Astyanax mexicanus: one gene and its partners. The protein of the gene in region 1 purifies or fractionates together with the protein of each later gene. This does not show direct contact. Links are inferred from orthologs where the notes say so. Each region holds a gene or a part of one and is shown in the gene's direction. Other genes may lie near its edges.

Evidence for each region. Proteins that work in one complex are often made in the same cells at the same time.
Region 2: the proteins of timeless (region 1) and claspin purify together in Homo sapiens (affinity purification with western blotting; 4 studies listed by BioGRID). This does not show direct contact. The link is inferred for Astyanax mexicanus from reciprocal best matches to the Homo sapiens genes TIMELESS and CLSPN.
Region 3: the proteins of timeless (region 1) and tipin purify together in Homo sapiens (affinity purification with western blotting; 6 studies listed by BioGRID and IntAct, counting the BioPlex papers as one, with this or other methods). This does not show direct contact. The link is inferred for Astyanax mexicanus from reciprocal best matches to the Homo sapiens genes TIMELESS and TIPIN.

Annotation. Positions count from the first base shown.
Region 1 is NC_064431.1:13,107,191-13,114,527, forward strand, and holds the start of timeless (protein timeless homolog), read left to right. Parts: upstream 1-4,309; 5' UTR 4,310-4,565; intron 4,566-5,586; exon of another isoform or gene 5,587-5,762; intron 5,763-7,186; exon of another isoform or gene 7,187-7,231; intron 7,232-7,333; 5' UTR 7,334-7,337. UniProt on the Homo sapiens protein: Plays an important role in the control of DNA replication, maintenance of replication fork stability, maintenance of genome stability throughout normal DNA replication, DNA repair and in the regulation of the circadian clock.
Region 2 is NC_064410.1:53,519,384-53,526,382, reverse strand, and holds the start of claspin, read left to right. Parts: upstream 1-3,986; 5' UTR 3,987-4,184; coding exon 4,185-4,208; intron 4,209-4,246; exon of another isoform or gene 4,247-4,269; intron 4,270-5,274; coding exon 5,275-5,389; intron 5,390-5,588; coding exon 5,589-5,923; intron 5,924-6,004; coding exon 6,005-6,166; intron 6,167-6,472; coding exon 6,473-6,532; intron 6,533-6,620; coding exon 6,621-6,693; intron 6,694-6,946; coding exon 6,947-6,999. Other genes in the region: ago4 (protein argonaute-4), read right to left, coding at 758-776.
Region 3 is NC_064430.1:4,940,183-4,947,091, reverse strand, and holds the start of tipin (TIMELESS-interacting protein), read left to right. Parts: upstream 1-3,896; 5' UTR 3,897-4,059; intron 4,060-5,385; 5' UTR 5,386-5,397; coding exon 5,398-5,536; intron 5,537-5,752; coding exon 5,753-5,846; intron 5,847-6,646; coding exon 6,647-6,722; intron 6,723-6,909. Other genes in the region: lctla (lactase-like a), read left to right, coding at 313-376, 1,655-1,770.

The DNA of each region.
Region 1 (7,337 bases):
TGCAGAGAGAATTCAAGGATACGAGGGCACCAAACTGCCACCATGAGGCAGCTTCGTGAGACAGACACTAGTATATGAGTGTTATCACCCATTCAGTTATTGGGTGACAGATACTCATTGTTTAGTCTGAAATCCAAACCTAGGATTCAAAGAGTTAATGTAGTTTATCAAAATTGGTTATATCTATATATATAATTTAGTTGGTGGTTTTAGTGATCTGATATGTGACTGTTTTAAATGCGTTTCACAACATCTCCTGAGGTGGTTTGAGGGGTCATATTTTTGCCTGTTTAAAATGGGTCTCAGACAACCTCCTGAAGTGGTTTAAGAAATTAGATATGTGTTCATTTTAAATGCATCTCATATTATTCTCTGAATTGGTTTGAGCGATTGGATTTGTGTCTGTTTTAAATGCGTCTCAGACCATATTCTGAAGTGGTTTAAGGAATTGGAATGGTGTCCCTTTAAAATCTGTCTCAGACCACCTCCTCTAAGTCTTTTTACAGAATTTTGCAGCTTTTCTGTGAGCATTTGATTGTATTCAGTGAAAGGAATGTTAGTTGATACCAGGATGTTGGATCATCATGACTGATTGTAGGCTTCTCGCTATCACAGAGTTATTTTTCCATCCAAAAGTGTGAGAACAATAAAGCTGCAGAGAGAATACAAGTAGGAGCATATGAAGGTATTTAATCGCCACCGTGGGGCAGCTTCAAGAGCCTTGGTTATTGAAAAAATGATTTTTTTCTCAAATGTCAAGTGGGATATTAAAGTTATTATGGTCATTATTTCAGCTCTTCTTTTCTCATGATAAAGCCAGGGCCTCAACATCAGTCCATCATTAGATGAATATTACAGGTGAGAATAGAGGCTAGTTGGTGGGGCGGGCGGTGGAGTTTAAGGCTTTAGTTAAAGGTCTTGGACGGGCTTCTGTCAGATAAAATCAAAACACTGACCTGCCAAAAGCCATCAGACTGCAGTATGTAAATTGTAAAAATTATTTAAAAAATAATAAAATGTTGAGGTGTTATCTTATGAGTGAGGATGTATTGTTGAACACTGTCCAGTGTTCAAGTTGACGCGAATTATGGGAGTTGGAGCGAGGCCTGATATAGAGTATGCATGGATGGGATATTCTATTTTGGAATGGGAGGTAATTGTCATGTCCTGCAGTGTCTGGCTGGAATTGTCCTTATGAACTCCAGATTCCACATCCATGCATTTCCTGCACTTCAGTGTAGTGTTTTTATCTTCTATGGGACAGTTCAAAAATGACTGGGCAAGAAAATTGTCCTATGACTTTTGGTATAGTGTTTTTCTAAACGCTTGTTCCTGAAATCCTCACAGCGATGCTGCTCCAAAATCTAGTAGAACGACTTCTCTGAAAAGAAGAGACAGTCACTTTTGTTCATTTATTTATCTAGATCTGCTGGGTTCAATCAACACTTAAATCCATCTCATTTAAATACATATAGTACACACTAGTACCTAATCTGACCTGGTTCATTCATACACTCACAAAAAGCTGGTAGGACAAAAAAAACTGTACATTTTTAGAAAAATACATGGACCAAAGTATTGGAACACCTGTGTATTCATTGTTTTGTTTATAGTCACAGGTTTTAAAAAGAGTTTATCCTGCTTTTATTTGTAGAGAAACTGAATAAAACAAATCCAGTTTCTTGATTATATCCTGATGATATTTTAACCACTTAGTAAACTAACTAAACTGCAGTTAATCAGACTGAAATGTAGTTGCTGGTTTGGATGAAATATGCAGATTAGCTAGTTTTGTTGCAATTATTACTGGTGTTTTGTTGTACTGGGAGGAGTTTTGGTTGTGGAATGCATCTTGGAGAGACAGATGCGATCACACTAATATGACATGTGGCTCAAATGATTATTGGTGTGTTTATACTTGCATTTGTACGTGGTTTGACCAAATTCAGGCACAATTCTAATACTCAAGACACATGAAATGAAAAGGTGTAAATGAATTAACTGTAGGATTTCTACAAGATTTTACAGCATGGCTGGGAGAATTTGATTACATTTAGCAACTGCACTTTAGCTGATCCACTCACTGCACTTACTGCACTACTCTTCCTTACAATTCATCTCCAACCATCTCCAATTTACCCCAGCAGCTTCAGCACTGAGAGATGTTTAGGCCGAGTGGGAGAAGATGAGGTGCAGTTGAGTTGGCAGTATGAAAACATGCTCACTAATTACTCACGCTCATTTACAGAAATAACTACAGCAGAGACAACTTCTCTCAGACAATTACCCACAGCATGATTTTACAATGGGAGATGTGATGTTTTGGATCCCAGTCACAGGGATTGTACTCAGAGTAAAAAAGGCTTTTCTGCCCCCATGTGGTTGAGGAATAGCTCTGTGCATTTAGGCTTCTAACATTGTGCTTAAAAATTCCAAAAACGTATGCAAAAGGTAGTCATATTCTGTCAAAAAATTAACAATTTTTTTTACATTCATTTATGAATATTCTTGCATATTGTCAATGTTTGACAATAGTGTATTAGCAAAATAACAGCATATTTGTAAAAGGTACACAAAATGTGTTAATAGTGATGCTATTTCTTCATATCAAATACTTTTTATTTTATGGTTAGTTTTGTTACAGCTGCATCTGAATGGTGTTATGAAACAATTTAGAGACTGTCCTAAATTTCAATAATCGCACACATTTCAGTACACCATGCACATTACTAAGAAAATGCTGTCAATTTTTTTTTTTTATATTTTTATACAGAATGCTTGTCTTATAAAAGCAGCCTAGGCTAAAAATATTCTGGGTCTAATTTTAGTTTAAAAACAATAGTATAAATAAGGTTTTTAATTACTATATTATAATGAGTATGAGACATTTTGCTAATGATGTATTATTGGTATTAGTACCTAGGAATAAAGTAAAAAAATATACACAGAAATTCACAGGTGTACCATTGTCTCTGTCGCTCTGCTATCTGTAGAGCTATAGATTAAGTATAAATAGATACTAAAAAGATTTACTGCAGAGCAGCTTTGGACACAAATAGCTGTCTAAATACACCCACACGGAAACACTACACTAAACTACACTACACTAAACAGCTTTACTAATTAATGACTGCTACCAAAAAGATGGTCCTGAACACACTCTTACCACCAAGCAATACTGTAGCACCCATGTAGCAACAATCTGGCAACATTGTTTTATCTCCTGTGCAATACCATATTAATAATCTGGGATACCATAGCATCATCCTAGCAAATATTGAACAACGCAATACCAACCACCAAGCAATGCAAAGATAAGAGCTGTAGAAAAGGTATATATAAGCAGAGATACATAAAGAGAATGGTTTTAATATTAAATCCATATTTATGGCGCTAATGTTGTAACACACATACATTTGATCACATTTGACCTTCTCATTTAATGTGTTTATTTATTATTTTTCCCTACATTATACAGTAATATTTATAGTCAGAGCACATAAGAAATCATGTATAAACTTAAACAAACCAAAATACTGAAGCATTTAAGCTCTAATCTGGGGTGCTGTTAACTTGTGGTTTCTGAGGCTGTTAACTTTGATTAACTTATCCTGCGTAACACATGTAACTCTTGCTCTCCCTTTCCTGAGTGGTCCTGATAAGTGCCAATTTCATCATAATATTTTTGATGGTCTTTGTGACTGCAGCTTTCAAAATTCTTTAAATGTTTTGGATTGCCTGACCTTTATTTCATTTATTTCAAAGTATTTTATTTTCTTTACTTGGTTGAGCAGTTCTTGCTATAATATGGATTAGTACATTACTCAAATAGAGCTATTCACTGTATATCAACTCTACCTCTTCACAACTTTACAACTGAGAAAACTATCATGTAAACAGGAGGTGCTACTTTAAAGTGTGTAAAAAATAACATATGTTCTGGTTTGTTTTACAGTGTTTAGTTTACTAAATAATCCCATGTTTGGATGACTTTAGTATTAATCTACAATGTAGAACACTTAAAAATAATTAAAAAAAACACAGAATGTAAGGTGTGTCCAAAATTTTGTCTGGTATTGTTTATTTAAAGTACTAAAAATGAATAATAAATTAACTTCCTCTCTTAAATAATTAAAGAGGATAATTTTCAGCCTAGGTCCTAGCGAGGATGTTTGGGATGCGAAATTGGTAATGACGTCATGTTACAGCTAGCGGCCGCTGTCACGCAGTGCTGAATGTGACTGGATTAAACCATTATCCATGTCAGAGGGGGAGCGCTTTAATAATAACTCCACTATAACTCTTCCAGATCTCCTCATTCTGTCTGTAGTGAAATCAGCGCGTTTAATAGAGACTAGTTAAAGCACACGGTGTGTAAATTGTTTACGGAATCGCGCTTAATTAACTTTTAAACTGTGTTCCTATGAAATCCCAGTTTCTGGAATGGTGTGAATCCTGGTTAGACTGTCTGTTATCCTTCAGTTTACTGTAATACTCTTCTATGATCCCTTACTGGAAACTGGGAAGGAGTTTCTGATTGACAACAGGAACCGTATATTATTAAGGTAGGTGTCATACTGTTAGCTATTATAGGTGAGCTATATTTGTGGTATTGATCCATATTAATAGTCTGTGCTTACTGTCTGAGGGAGGGTCGATAAAAAGTTGTCAACTGTCAGCTTTGGCTAAAATAGGCTAATACAGCTTTGATATATGAAACTACGTTGTGTAGTGTACTGTAATATTATTTAATAATCATCCTTTAAATGTATAATCATCCATTGCACTATAGCCTGCATAGCAAAAATAATGTATTTAATTTATGTTTATTTTTAATGGCGCTACTCCAACAGTAGAGATATAATGCATGTTATTTATGTATGAATAAATCAGAAATAACTTGGATAAACCTGCCCTCCAGACTTTTTTGCTCTTTTTATTAACAGTGAAAATGTGTCACGATACCTTTAAGAAAGACGACACTCGCGGCAGTGACGAAAGACTGATTCACATTACAGAACTGATTCAGTGATTCAACAGTTCACTGATTCAGCCCTGAATCGTTTATCGCTCCATTCAATAATACATAGTTGATTCAGTTTTTAATCTATTTTATGTCCAGTAAAAATAATAATATAGCATAAAATTGTCTTACTGTTTGACAACTTTTCTTTCAGCTCTAAACGTTCCACCTTAAATAGTTCACGCTGTATTAAAGGTAACTCCAAAGTCTCATTCATTAGAAATAACGTTTCTGGTAACGCTTACTGTTTAAGGTGGAATGCTCATATTCTATTTTGGTGCGACACATCATGCAAAACAGATATATAAACGTATATAAACAGTTTATAAAATACATTGAATTGATTAAACGAGGCTGCTATTTTAACATAAATGTAAAATATTTTGATTATTATTATTATTATTATTATTATTTGTATATTCGTTTTTATTGCCAATTGAATTTTTATTTTCAATGATTATAGTATTATTCATAAAGCAACATGAAGGCTTCAGATTTATGAATCAGTTAGACTGTTCAAATGAATCGATTCTGTGAACGAGTGCGAATGTAAAATTTGCGCGCGAGATGAGGCTGTAGAGGGAAAGCCGGGGCTGCAGCCATGGAGGAGTAGTGTGGTGAAACTTTAATATTCCACCTTTAAACCACTGGAACGGCTCAGTAAAACGTTTTAGACTGAGAGGACTGTTGGACAAAGGCTGTTAGAATTTTTCTGTCACTTTAAAGCCAGATGTCTCTGGTAAGTTTGGGGTTTTTGTCTTAGTTTTGGAGGCTGTAGTTAGTTAACTCACGGTTAGCCTGCTGCCTAAATATGTTTAGGTTAGCTCACGAGCTAACCACAGCTAGTTAGCTTAGTTAGCTAGTAAGGCTAGGAAAAGGACACTGTATTTTAGCTGAATGTCTGTTTGTGTTCTTTAAAAAAAAGTTTTGGAGGAGTATAATGTCTGTATATTAGTGGTTTTGTTATGTTCCAAGCTTTAAATGAATGAATAAAGTAAAGCTGACCGGTGTAACTGGGTGATAAATGTTAGATTAAGACCACATATTCATATGTGAATATTTTGAACTAGCCACTAACGTTAATTAAGTTTGTTTGGAAAAGACAACCTACTGTTCTGTGTAATCTTCCTCTTATTATTATTATTATTATTATTATTATTATTATTATTATTATTATTTTCAGCAAATATAATCACTATCACGTCCCACAGCTTTTGAGGTAGAATCACAAAATGCTCAATAATTGCTTCATTAATCAGTTAATTGTTTGTTTAAAATTTCAGCTCAACTTAGAAGATATTGGTGATATTCTCTGGCCTCATTTTTAAACAGATAATTAAATTAATATTAAGCAAATAACTGATGGTCATCATGCAGTGTATTATATACCACATATTAGGGGTGTGCCATATTGTATCTTATAAATTATGTAAAATATTGCCATTTGTAAAAAAAAAATGTCTTAATATTTTTTTGCAAAAATGCCCTGAAATATTGATATTATTTATTAGATTATTTTAGGGCCATGTGGGCCACCGTTTTTTACTGTTTGTACCAAAAGCAAAATTCACAGTTTTATTTTTAATATCTATTAGAGACAGATAATATCTGTTCAGTATTATGTGTTTTACTTTAAACATGGATATAAGGAGTGCATTATTAGTATCATAACATGTGAAAACATTGACTTGTGTTACAATCTGGTAAAAGTCTCAATTATATTTTACTATATTATCATCAAATCATATACAAAAATATAGCTAAAAATAAAATGAATTAAAATCAAATTGTCAAAGCTGTATGTTTTAGTAGACAATTGTATTAAGGAACATAAGTCATAAACATAATCATATCACATAAGACCCATACCTTAATATTTTTTGTTTCCTGACACCGGTATGGAATATGTGTATATGTTTGTTTACATTTTTTCTATTCAGAGGTCAGAATCTCTAGGCTGCAATATACTATGTAGTCTATGTTTACATGGTATTACTACTGGTAAATGTGTCTGAGGTGAGTAGGTGTGTTGTATAGACAGGGCTAAGCAACACCCCCCTCCCCTCCTCCAGTGAAAGTAGGTTAACTAGAAGCATTATGGGTAAGTGTCACAGTTGCATAACTCTGAGTTACACAGCTTCCTCATCGCTCTGCCGGCTTCTGGTTTACAGCAGACTGGCAGCAGTGTTACAGAAGAGCACTCACACAGTTCAGTCTTTAAGTATTTATTCTTTAAACACGCCACACTTTTTTTAAACAATGTAAAACTGAAATGATGATTGACATGCCATATGTTTTAATCTGTTTCAGATTG
Region 2 (6,999 bases), on another chromosome or scaffold:
AATCTAAAATATTGTGAAATTACATTGTTTTAGGGCCATATCGCCCACCCCTATTATGGAAACCATGTATGTTATTGTGAAACAAGCGTCGACATTATGTCCAGCATGGAGGGACCCTGTCCAGAGTGTGGAAGTGGCGCGGAAAGCCCTGTCAACACGGCGTCCAACACAGTATATCCCCCACTGACCATATTTAGCTAACTAGACCATGTGCTTGGAGCAGCAAGACTCAAATTAATGACTGTAGAAACGTGTAAAAATATCCTGGTCTCTTTCGTAGGGTTAAAATTTGATAAAAACCCATTTTGAGGCATAAATAACCTAAGCTACAAAACAAACGAGCACACAGCAGCGTATACAACACGACCAGGAAGAAAGAGGAGCTGCTTCGGTTAAATCCCCCTCCTCGCTCGGCAGCACAATGCCGTCCTGCTGCCTTCCGCACCGCTGTGTGTCTATGTGTTTGTGTGTGAAGCTGCTGCATTGCCGCGACGCTACACAACAAATACCTGCCCAGATGCCTCACACACACACACTTGTTGACCCTCTGACTACATTGTTAATCTTGTCTGTCTGTGATATAAACCAAACAAGCGGTTCTGGTTCAGCTGTGGCGAGCGGACGCGGCCCGACCGCCCCGTTTGTTTTCGCCTCTGCTCGGCTAGGCCTACTCGGGCAGCCGCAGACCACGGCCCCCAGTGAGGAGGCGCGCCGGCCTGCCTGCGCTGTCACTCGGCTTGACTCTTTTGCAGCTTACCGGGTCCGAGCGCTTCCATGGCCGAGGGCTCTCTCTCCGTCTCTGTCCCGGCCTGGCGGCTCCGTACCGACACTGAAATTGGGGGCGGTATCTCGAAGCTTAAGGTGACTAATTTGAGAAATGGAAGGATGCGTATAGCTCGTCAGGGGACCGAACTCGGGCTTCGCTGCGTTGTGTGATTTAAAGCGGATCCGTGGGATTTGTAAGTGCGCATGTGCTGGAGCTGGGAGGGTCCTAACGCGCATGCGCGCTTCTGGAACCTTAATGGTAAAAGCTGCGGTTCCAGGCAAGCCCCCAGCTGTAGTTTTTTTCTTTGGAAATATATTTTAAATACATTTTTAAACTTACTTACAAAATCAAACAAACTATCAACATACAAAAGTGATATTAAACACAACATATTACAGATGATACACTACTGATAATTATAGTAAATAAAAATCTGTAAAATAATCCCATAGTGGATTTATCTTCAGGCAATCCCAATTATTGACAAGATAAAGATAGGGTGACCATATTTGGTTAAATACATGTGTTAATAAATATATAATACAATTCTATATTATTCTATATGAAACAACATTATGCTAGGTCTTAACAGAGGGAACCATATCACTTATCCAAGACAATAAGATAAACGCCCTTGCTCCATAAAGCTGCAGGTTGAATAATGTACAGGTAGAAACAAATAGATATATACTTTATCCATCCAGAAGGAAATGTAGGCATACAGTAGCTTGAAACAACACAATGCAATAAATATGCTCAGGGAACACACAGGAGAGAAGATAGCTAGATATACAAAGGGTATAATGAAAACTTTGGTAGAGCAGTGCAGCAGAAGATGGCGCAATCGTCCAATTAACAATCTACACAGCAAAAGTGCAAGATGCAAATGACATGTACCCATATGTGCATACCCATTCACACGTTTAGATGAGTAAATGCCACTGTAGTTTGACTGCACCAGAGATTAGAGGAGGAACGAAATGCCTAATGGCTCGTTAATGGCTCTGAGGGAAGGACTTAGGCGGACAGACCACATATTTACACAAAAAAAAGATTTAGGTAACCAATTAAGGTAACTTAATATTGCAGCATATATAATAGCTGATTACTCTAGTTACGTATTAATTAACTGTAGCATAAAGCGAATGGTATGGTAGAGTGCAGTTCACCTTATCACGCTACACTTCTAATAATAAGTCCACAAGCAGTTAACTTAACGCGCATGCGCGCTACTGGTGAGTATTGGCGTTCCAGGAAAGCCATCGGCTGCAGTTTTAATAAGTTACAGCTTGAAAAGGGAGGATTCAAGTGGACCGACCCCACACAGTTTACACAGGAAAAAAGCTATTGTCTATAAGGTAATGTTGCAGCATATATTGTAGCTAGGAATTTACACACATCTGCTGCAAATAAACAGAGGAGGTTGGTGGAGTGAAGTGTAGTGGACACCACGCCACGCCAATAGGAGTTCTTGGGCAAGACTCCCAACAATACATTCTCTTACGACTGTAAATGTAAGTTACTCAGTATAAGAGCAGCAACCAAATGCTGTAAATGAAAATGTAAGTATAAAATCTGTGGAACACTAGTTGTGGGGCGCAATTCCTTACCTGTTCAAAGCCAGCAATGAAGATTGTAAAACTTATTTGATATTTGATGGAAAGTGCCTCAGTCTTTTTTCCATACTGACTTAATTACCGGCTTGTAAGCGTTTAATTTGACTTATGACTGGGCAGATGTCTTTGTTTGTCCTTTGCAACAAACCGAAAAACAGGGGTGAGCAATGTCTTCATCCAGTAAGAAACATCAGTGGTATGCACTTAACATGTGTTGAGTGTGGATAAGACTAGGCTAACAACTAGTTAATGTACAAACAGTTTTTGTAATGAATTGAAAATATTTGTTAAGTATTTAAATTTTTAAAAGTCTGTGTTCATTAGATTTTAAAAAAAGAAATTGTCAGTTTAGAAACCTTTAATGCGTGAATAGGCTAAGCTGTTTTAGCTTAAAAGCTGATAGCACCTTAACTTACGTTTTTACTGTAGATCAATGTTATGCATTCCCCCCAAGTAGAATTTCTAATTTCTGTTGTTTTACGATATGTTTATTGTTAAAATGAGATATACTGATCTGTAAAGTTATCTTGATTCAGTGGTATTGCTAAGATGACAAATATGTAATTTGACCAGTCACATTGCCAGGAAGACATCCTTATGTATTTTTTACCAATACAGTCTAAATTGTAACTATTGCAAGTGCTAATTTATTTATATGCAATGAAGATATTTGTAGTAAGTTTAAGATCTCCAAAATGTTTTTGGTAAGGTATCGCTAGTAAAATAACTAGTCAAATAGGACTGTCAGAATGATTTTTATAGATATGTAGTAGGGCTGAGTGATCTTGTAAAAATATTATGTCATATGTTCTTGCATAACAACTTCAGTTTTTTATTATTTGTGGACAGGCAGCTTTTTTTGCCAATACACCTCCCCCCTTACATGCAGGTTTTTTTAAACACATTGCATAAATAACCTCCTTGTATTTCAGTTACGCAAAAGTGTAAAATATGAAAATCACTGCCATGGAAAAGAGTTCTTTACACATTTCTGACAGAAGCACAAACCTGCCTACTGTGATTCCCTCTGGCAGCTTATAATGTAAATATGTACAATCTCGAATATCCCATTTTGAAAATCACATTAAAACAGTGTGTGTGTGTATATATATATATATGTATATATATATATATGTATATATATATATATATATACATATATATATATATATATACATATATATATATATGTATATATACATATATATATATATATATATATATATATATATATATATATATATATATATATATGTATATGTATATATACTTTTAGTAACATTAGTCATTATCTGTACATCTGATATTATTATTAATATTACTAGTAAAATAATTCACCTTTGGTATCTGAAATTAGCACTTTTTCTATTAGGAAATCCTATTGCAGAGGTTTTAAAGTTTAGTTTTACCAGTAAAAAGATTTATTTTTATACAGCAGCAAAACAACACAATGAGCTATTGAAAACAACGCGCGCTTCCTATTTTAAAGATCTGCCCAATCAGCGCGAATTTAGCACGCTGGGGATCCGGTTGACCAATCAGAGAGCTCGGCAGCGTTGACGGACGGGAGCAGGAGAGGCACGGCTGTGCTGCGCGCGAAAGGTTGAAATTGTATTCGGTTTGGAGGATCCGGCGGGAGAGGAGCTCCGGTTTCGCGCTTTACTGATCTATTATTTAAAGTTCTCGGGTAGATATCGCGCGAATTAGTCGCTGTCGGGTTAACTGCTGTTTTTAGCCGCTGCTGGAGACGGTTTCTGCTGTTTTGATGAGTTTTAACACCGAATAAAAGAAGCGGACAAAAGATGAGCCTGCTTTCCGCCGAACGGGTAACTATAACTATCACGCAGCCGGGGACGGGCAGATGTATATCAGAGCTATGTTAAATATGTAGGTTATTATGTAGAAATTTTGTGCTTTTTAACTTTGGAAACGCATATAGTTAGGTTGCTAACTGTTGTCACATTAATCACACGTAGGTTAGCCAGCTAGCTAGGTAACCTAGCTATTTGACTTGGCTTGGTGGGTAGCAAGTTAGCTAGGTTAGCTATTTTGTTAGCTCGCTCGCTAAAGGCTGGTTAAATCTCTTTGTTAGCTTGTTTGCTAGCTATATTTTGGATTAATTAAATTGTTTGTCAGTTTATTGTACATTAATTCACAAATGCTGCTCCTGTTTGTACTATAGCTGAAGGTCAGTTAATCTCGGTTAGCTATAACTAGGGGTTTACGTGTGTACAAGGTGCTTGTGGGCTACATGAAGGTTAACCATTCAGCTCCCAGAATGCAAAACAAATAAAGACAAGTATCTATCTTATACTATTGATTTAATGGTAAAGTAGAAAAAGTGGATGGCAATTTGTAGTTGTTCTGCAGTGTTATGTTTAAATAATAGTTCATTTCTTCACATGATTGACCTTAATAAATAGATCAGTTTATTAATCCCAGATGATACAAAATTGGTAACCAGCAGATTAGCAGATGCAATCTTTAGATAAGAAGTGTACGGTCAAAATCTATATAAGAAAAAGAAAAATACAGGAAATATTGTGTAAGCTAGCTACAAAGTAGTATAAAACAGTATATAACAGAAAGTGTCTGCATTGTAAAGATTCAGTCATGTACAACCTGAATGAATGTACATGGTAAAAACGGTGGAATGATCTTTAGTACAGTATGATTACTGTTGTTAAAAAACAATCTCCAGTACCATTAATCAGGCTTATTTACTATAAATGTGTAACTGTAAGGATTTTTCACCAACCTTATCACTATCTCTCTTGTCTTTTTGGCCAATCGACCAGACACCTTTGTGTTTATTATCTGCCAGCCTAATTTTTACATTTAAAAAGTAACATAAATATCTTTTTAACACTGACTTCAATGTTTGCTCTACAGCCCGTGGATCTCCCTGTAGAGAGCCCCAAGGCTGACAGTGACTCAGACAGTGGAGTAGGTTCACCAATGGAGGATGCTGTGACTGAAAAGAACACTGCCACTGAGGCCCAAGGAGGTAATCTAAAAGTACTAAAAGTATTTGTGTGCAAGTAATTTAAAATTTGCTTTCTGAAACAGGAAGTCTATGTTATGATGCACATTTTGTGTTCTCTAGTTTTGCCAGTATTATTTACAGGCTTTTATAAAGCTAGGACATGGCTATTTTCAGTCTGTCATTGTATTATAAAGACTTATTTTACTATTTTGTGCTCCAGATTCTGATGAAGACATTGCTGTCAACCGGAAGGCTCGTTCTCGAAAGGTCCTTGAAGACAGTGACAGTGAAAAGGAGGAGGAGGTGACAGGGATGGCAGAAGCTCTCGTTCTTTCAGAATCTGGTGAGGAGGAGACCACAGAGGGTGATCGAGTCAAAAAAAGCCGGGGGAAAAGGATATCCCGTATTTCCATGGACAGTGATGAGAGCGAGCCAGAGAAAGATGAACCTAAGGAAGAGAAGAAAAAGAGGGGGAAGTCACAGAGACGCAAGGAAAAGGAGAAAAACAGAGGTTCTCTAGTGAAGCGTTTGAAAGAGAAGTCGGGCGCTGTTGAAGTAAGTTAAATTTAATCATTTCTGAATTAAGTATCAAAATATGTAGTCCATTTTTGACCATAATTAATTCTCTATTTTCAGGCGACCTCTTCGGGCAAGGCTCTCAATGATAGCGGCTGCCTACTTGGTGATAATGATCTATTTGATGCTCAGCTGGAAGATGACACAGCTGATGGGGAGATGGAGGAAGCAGAGTCTCTAGATGCAATTAGAGATGCTGTGAAGCAGAAGGCCAGGCACAAGGTGGGAACAGGGTACTTTCCTGAAGGGTATCAGTTCTGATCTAGAACCTGCTTTTATGTTAAGTAGTAATGTTTGCAGGGAATTTGAAGAGAAGTGGGCATATAAGGAAATTTGAATTCACCAGTTAGGGTGTACGATATAGAATAAATATCACAATATTTGTACACAATATTTGTGATTGTAAACAAAATGTATGATTATCATTAGATTCTTAAAGGCTGCTACTCAAAAACTGTACTGTGTTTAGTACAGTGATTGTCCCAAATTCACTTTAAAATGACAGTTATTTGTTTAACCTACCTGCAGCTCCATTCTCATGACATGGAAGATGATGAAGTCAATGAAGAAGACTGCTCGACGCGTAAGGTATAAGGCGCTTATTTGTCTTTCTTTTTTAACTTCCCCTTCTCCACTGTTAATTTGTGAAGCTAATTGATTTGGATAATGTTCTCAGGAGAGAAAAGCAGCAAGAGCAAGTAAGGAGGCCATGAAACAGCTCCACAGTGACAGCCAGCGGCTTGTGAGAGGTTAGTAAATAGCTGATAAGTGGGTGAATCATTCCCATTTTAATCGCTTTTTAGTCACATGCATATGCTTGGACTGATGGTTTAGACAATTAAATTAGCCACTATTAAAGATATGAAACTTATTAGAATTATATAACTGTACAGAAGCATTTGATGGGCTTTTTGTTTTTCTAAACTGTAATTTAACATGTGATTTGGGTACTGAGGTTCTTTTTAAGCTCTTACTAATCTTGTGGTATCTCTTTGTTTTCAGAATCTACTATAGGGCTACCATACCACATGCCGGAGCCAAAGGGCATTGACCAT
Region 3 (6,909 bases), on another chromosome or scaffold:
TTAGATTACTACATTATTTCAACAAACCAACTGTCCTTTATACTATGTGACAATTTCTTGATAAATGGACCAATAGAATTTCTTCAAAATGAAATAATCTGTTTTTACATTGAAAATTACACTTCCATTGAAATTTACGAAGGTTTTATCTCTCTCCTGTAAAGTTGCTGTTTTGGAGATACTTGTTTTTCATTGGACAGCAATGATATAATTTTTATTACTTTTTTACAGTATAACATATGTGTTTTTTTGTAGATTTTGTAGCTACTTGTTAATGGTGTTAATGGTGTTAATGGTGTGTATCCTCTACAGATTGAGAGCTGGAGAAGGAAGGCGACAGAAACCTGTACCTCCAGTAATCAGCTTTTAGCAGCAGGTCAGTATCCCTGAGCTTTCAGCTTTAACACACCGTTATGAGCTTAACTGTGGTCTAAATGGGGCAAATACAAGAAAACCTGTTAGTATAGAGTTTAAACTGGTGCATAAACACAGAAATCACTTATCTGTGAATATCTGTAGCTTGTTAAAATGAGGGGAAATCTGGCAAATAGGATGGCTTTTTTGGGGGTGGAATATTACATAAAAAGGGGCAACATCTCTAACGGGAATTTTCTTTTGTTTGCCCCTCCAGCTAGAAGAAAATCCAAGGAACATGCAGAAATGCCAAAGGTTTGGCCAGTGCATGATGAAGTTTAGGTACTAGGGACTACAGTTTTTTTAGAGCGACCACATGTCTTTTTGCATTGTGAAAAAAAACTTTAAAATCTATTTTCCATTGATTTTACACTGACACATATTCTGAATGTGAATTTTCCAGCTTTAAACAGAATTTTCCACCTTTTTAACCAGATTATTGGTCTAAATCTACCTGCATTTTCATAAATAAACATCAATTGGATGAATTTAAAACATTTTTGGCTTTCTAATTGTTTTTTTTAATTAATACATTAATTTAAGTTTAGTTCTTATAATTCCTAAAATAGGTTTGTGCTAAATATAATGCTAAAATGTTAAATAAATGTTATACAAACGATATATAAAACTTTTATTATTCTTATTCTTTTTACTATAACATACAACATTTTTGCTCTTTTTTATGTTATTCTTTTTATATTTGCATTTTAAGATTTTCATAACCCTTATCTCTACATACAAATAAAATAAAAAAAATATTATTAAATCTTCTCACCCCTATTATTGCTCTAAATCTACCTGTGTTTAAATCAACTGATTGATAGGCATCAATCTGTTTGATTTTATTAGACTTAAAATATAAAAAAAAATGTAAATGAATACATCATTTTTTGCAATATTTTGTGTGCTAATAATGCTTAAATGCTAAATATATGTTATATAAATGATTCTTAAATTAAAACTTATTAAAATATTATTATTTAATAGTATTATTATATTATTATAATATGTTTTATATTTTATTTTTTTATAACACTTAATAATTAAAAATTACTGCTCTCATAAGTGATGTGTAAATGAATTCTAATGCTTTTATATGATCATTGCATCATTATATCAATGGAATAAAATGGTTAAACAATGACAATAAATTTATTTATCACTATAATGTGTAAAATAACTGGTAATTTTGAAAGGCCTAGTCTAAAACTGCACTTTAATTCTGTTTTTATGATTTTAGATCCTCTCACCAGCCACATGGAGATGGTGACGGAGATCGTGGTTCCCACTGTGTGCACCCTGTGTATTCTCATCTGTGCTATTTTCCTCATGTTCCTGCTGAGAGGTCGCCTGTAGGCCTCGTTCTGACCCTACCTGACCCTTCCCGCTCCTTTCTCCAGTCTGTTCAGTCCATTCCTCCTCACCTGTGCTCTCTGTGAGACTAACTCTACCTGCTGAAGATGCTGAAGATACGCAAGATTCTGGTTCTGAAGCTGCTGTGAGCAAACCGGTTCCCTGGAAAACGTCCTGTTGGATTATATCTGCATACACGCAAATTCCTCAGTGGATAGCTAGAGGTTTGGTGTTTGATATGAGGTGATAAATGGGTGGATGAATATATGAAAATATGAAATATCTTTTTTAAAAAGCATATTTTCATAGCTTTAATGTATGTTTTTTTGTAATATACAGTCATGGCTGAAAATTGCTGAAATTTTTCCACAAAATAAAATATTTCTCATAGAAAATTATTGCAATTACACATGTTTGGTTTTATACATGTTTATTTCCTTTGTGTGTATTGAATCAACACACAAGAAAAATGAGAGAAAAGGTCAAAAATTGCTATAATTTAATGCAAAACTCCATAAATTAGTTGGACAAAATTATCCATTTGGATGGTTTAGAGGCTTCCTATAACCATCAACAAGTTTCTTTCACCTGCTCCAGGTCTCTTATATTTGAATGCTTTCTTCTCCCAACATAAATTTTAGGATCTCTCCAAAGCTGTTCAATTGGATTTATATCTGGACTTATTGCTAGTCACTTTTTAAACTAAGTTTTGGGGTCATTGTCTTGCTGGAAGACCCAATTTTTACCTTTTTGTTCTCCGTTTCTTTTGTGTTGCTCCAATACACACAAAGTAACAAATAAACATGTGTAAAACATAACATTGTGTGATTGCAATTTTTATGGGAGAATTACTTAATTTTCTAGAAACAATTCAGGGGTGCCAACACCTTTGGCCATGACTGTTTCTTAAGTACAGTGGGGATTAAACAGAGCGATTCTGTGAAATAAGATACTGAAAGTAATGCTCAGTTAATAATAAAGACATGTATCATCTACAGTAAATATTAAATAAAGGTTTAATAACCCTGTGTATTTTCATTGTCTTTATCTACATATTTTAAAAATAAACTAAAGAGAACTTGTAGATGTTAGTTGCTGCAGAGTAAGAGCTCTTAGAATTAAGATAAGAAAGTATATAATTTTATTTGATGATACTTAGCCCAGTAACAGGCGCTAGGTGGCGCCATGTCCATTGTTAACATGGTGAGGAGCAGAGCAGCCGCAGCTCTTGAGCAATACTCAATACAAAATGCAAAAAAAAAAAAAAGAAAGAAAAAGAAACGGTTAATTTCTCCTGAAATTGTGTTAAAAAATCATTATTTATTTTTAAATTTAAATGTATTATAGAAAAGAAAGAATGAATTTTCATCTTTTTTTTCTTCTTTTTTTTCATTTCTGACTCTCAAAATCTGAATTCCTGGAAAAAAATATATTGTGTAAATGTTTTATTTTATTTTAATAGTTTATTTAACAGGGACAGTGTACATTAATTAACATTACTGTAAATGCACCAGAATTAGCCTAAAGGCTATTTTTCATCCGTTGTCCCTGAAAAAAATCTAGATTTTCTTTCCTGAAATTCTAATTGCAATTCAGTAATCTATTTTTTATGACCCTTATAATCTAAATTCTGGGGGAAAAAATATTTTCTAATTTTCTGAGGGATGTTGTGACAAAAAATCTGATGGTACAATACAGCCTTTTTTTCTTTTTTTTTTTTTTCATTTTTCCTGAAATTCAGATTGTGAGGGGCAGAAATGAAAAACTTTGAAAACTATTTATTATAGTAAAGAACAAATTAATTGTCATCTATCTTTGGCGTTGGTTATCTATTTTATAAAACAGATGGAATTAAATGTGGATGTAAAACTTGCATTTCATCTGCTTTTCCAAATTTCTACTTTTTTATATCTGCCCCTCACAATCTGAATTCTAGTGAAAAAATTGCGTAAATCAAGTAAAGATTTTTTTTTCATTTGTCCTGGGTTATAAGGGGTAGAAATAAAGATATAATATATTATACATTTATTTATATTATAATGTATTTACTGAAAGGGCTGAGCTGAGCTTATCCGGGTCAGTAGGGGACGGTAACGCGCCTACAGCAGCTCCATTACCCGCTATAAACACTGATACCATAGATACAGCAGCTGCTGCTGCACTCCGCGGGCAGAGGGAGCGATACGACCGGGGTACTGATAATTAACCCGGGATAAATCAGCGGAACGGACGGCAGTTCAGCTCTAAACCGGCAGGAATTACTGATCTGCAGCCTGTCAGATCTTCAGCTCGGTATGGAACCGTATATCCGCGGTTATCCGGAGTTTAAGTGGTTTATTCAGCGCTGGATAACACTGCTTACAGAAGCTAAAGCTAACTAAACTATAAAAGCGCGGGAAACTGGGTCATATAGAGAGCTAATAACAGCATAACCAGCATGGAATACCTTATATACCCCATACTAACTTAATTACACTGTGTGCGTAGGCTGGCAAAGTGTATATTTTCCGAAAAAAGGCTTGAAACTGAGTCACAGTTAGCCTAGCTTAGCTTTTGTTGCCGCCAAACTGCTTCCCTGTTCAACGTTATTATTTTTTTTTTTTTACCTATTTTTGTAACCAATAGAATCGGTCGTTGTCAGTCACGTGTGTTTACTATGCGTAAGCGCCATATTTAAGGTATAGTAAAGTGTATAGCAGCACAGTACAGGTGTTAGAAACTACAATGTTTTTGTAATGTTTTGAGAATTTAAAGCAATAAAACCAGAGAAACAGGATTAAAGTGTGGAAATAGCGCCCCCATACGAGCTGAGCGAAGATGACCTTGACTTTTATTTGGATTAATTAGCTGTAGTCAGAGGTGTCGACTACTGGTGGACGATATGGCCCTTAAATAATATCACAGTATTTCATGGTATTTTCGTGATAACAATTGAATTAAAATAATTTCAAAAATGCACTACTGCAACAAAATGAAAATTACATTTTATTATTGCATACGAAAAAAATATTAGAATTTAATCAGATTTGTTACAGAAGTCAATGATCCAGAATATCATGATGCTAGTAATGCACTTTGTAAATCTCGATATATCCAAGATTAAAGTAAAATAAATTATCCTGGAACGATATAATCTGTGTCTAGTAGATATATAATGGTAAATGAGAACAGTGTGAATTTTTCTTTTACTAAAAACAGCAAAAAAGTAGTACCCTGATAATTAGGGGTGAGTGATATGGCACAATATTTTAGGGTATAATATCGTTCACCATATTCAAAAATGTTTGCAATGTGATTGAGTATGATACAATTTAGCACACCCTAAGTGTTGATTTAATGAACTACAAATACTTTTAAAATGGAAAAAAAAAAACATTTTAAAACAATTTTTCAGATTTCTTTTTACTTTTGCAACCTACTTTTCACACCATTATCTGTCCTTTCTACTTGTTAAAAATGTGAAACAAACCGGTGTATGCGTTAATTTATTTTTTGTCTATTAGAGACAGTATAACCTAATACATAGCAAACTCATGTGGGGAGATTAATTTACACAGCTGTCACCAGTATTTCTTTTTTTTTTTTTTTTTATCTTAATGAATTATCATCTCTCTCCAGGGGCTTCACACCATGCTGGATCCATCAGAAAATGGTTTGTTTGACATCCCTGACTACGATCAGATAGAAGATGAGTCATTTCCCCCTCTGCCTCCACCCCTGTCTCCTGGAGAGGGAAACCTGGAAGGAGACCCTTTTGCCAATGGAGAGGGTAAAAGCTTATGTTTTTTTCTTTTTCATAATATATTGTCCCAGAAATAACTGTGGTTAACATTATTATCATAATTTTGGGTCGATGTTGTGCCTCATATCATATAATTATACAATTATAGTATGATATTGCAAATAGAAAAATGGTTGTTGGACGTTGGATGGTATTTTTTACGATAAGTTGATAAAACGATGATTGTATTCTGTGTGCGTTTAGGTGAGGCGGAGGGCGAGGTGTCGAAGCTACCTGAAGTTCCAGTTGCCAAAAGGCGAACCGTCAAGAGGCCTCAACCTAAACTAGACTCTCAGAGGTATTAATGTTATGTTGAGTTTATTATTTTAGGAAGCATGTGTCTTACTAGAGCTGGATAAATATGATGATGATATAAATTTTCTTATCGCATCGACAATAAGCATGTCAAGGACTGAACTGTACATTTTAATACAGAGTGTAAAAATCCTGTTTAATTGGATGATGTGCAAGAAAAATTAAATAAGAATCACTGTACTATACATGCAAGAGCATTTTAAGAGTAACGTAGCAGAATCTGCCACTGCTGATGCATTTTGTCTGTGTGTCAAAATATGGTGCATAATGTGTATTGAAAAATGCTTTTCAGTTTGTTTTTATGTACACATAGAGTGGTGAATATAGTGATCATATCAATATCTGAATGGTATCGTGTTGACAGATATACAGCTCTGAGAAAAAATTTGAGAGCACTTCAGTTTCTGAATCAGTTTCTCTATTTACAGGTTTATGTTTGAGTAAAATGAACATTGTTGTTTTATTCTATAAACTACAGACAACATTTCTCCCAAATTTTAAATAAAAATATTGTCATTTAGAGCATTTATTTGCAGAGCTTTTAGGCCTCAAATAATGCAAAGAAAACACGTTCATCCATCTTCCTCTTGATTATATTCCAGAGGCTTTCAATTTGGTAAAATCAGACTCGTCATTTTTAAGTTCTCTCTTATTTTTATTTTTTCCCAGAGCTGTATATTGTGATATCAAATTTTGCCACGCCCCGCTATATGTCTCTATAACAACTAATGCCTGATATCTGCAGTACTTTCCAGTCTGTCTCTCCCTCTCTTTCTAATACAGACTAACATCTGAACGAGGACTTCCAGCCCTGCGGACGTTATTTGATAATGTCAAGTTTAAGGGCAAAGGACATGAGGTACACTACACTATATGATCTCTCTGAAAATCTAGTAGAAAAACTTCTATGGATAGAAGAGACAGTTACTCCAACAAAATCAAAAACTCTCTTTAATACCCTTGATTTCAGTTGAATCAGTGAATGAGCAGGTGTCCCTATACTTTTGTCAGTATAGTGTACCTAATCATTGAATTAATTGTTGATT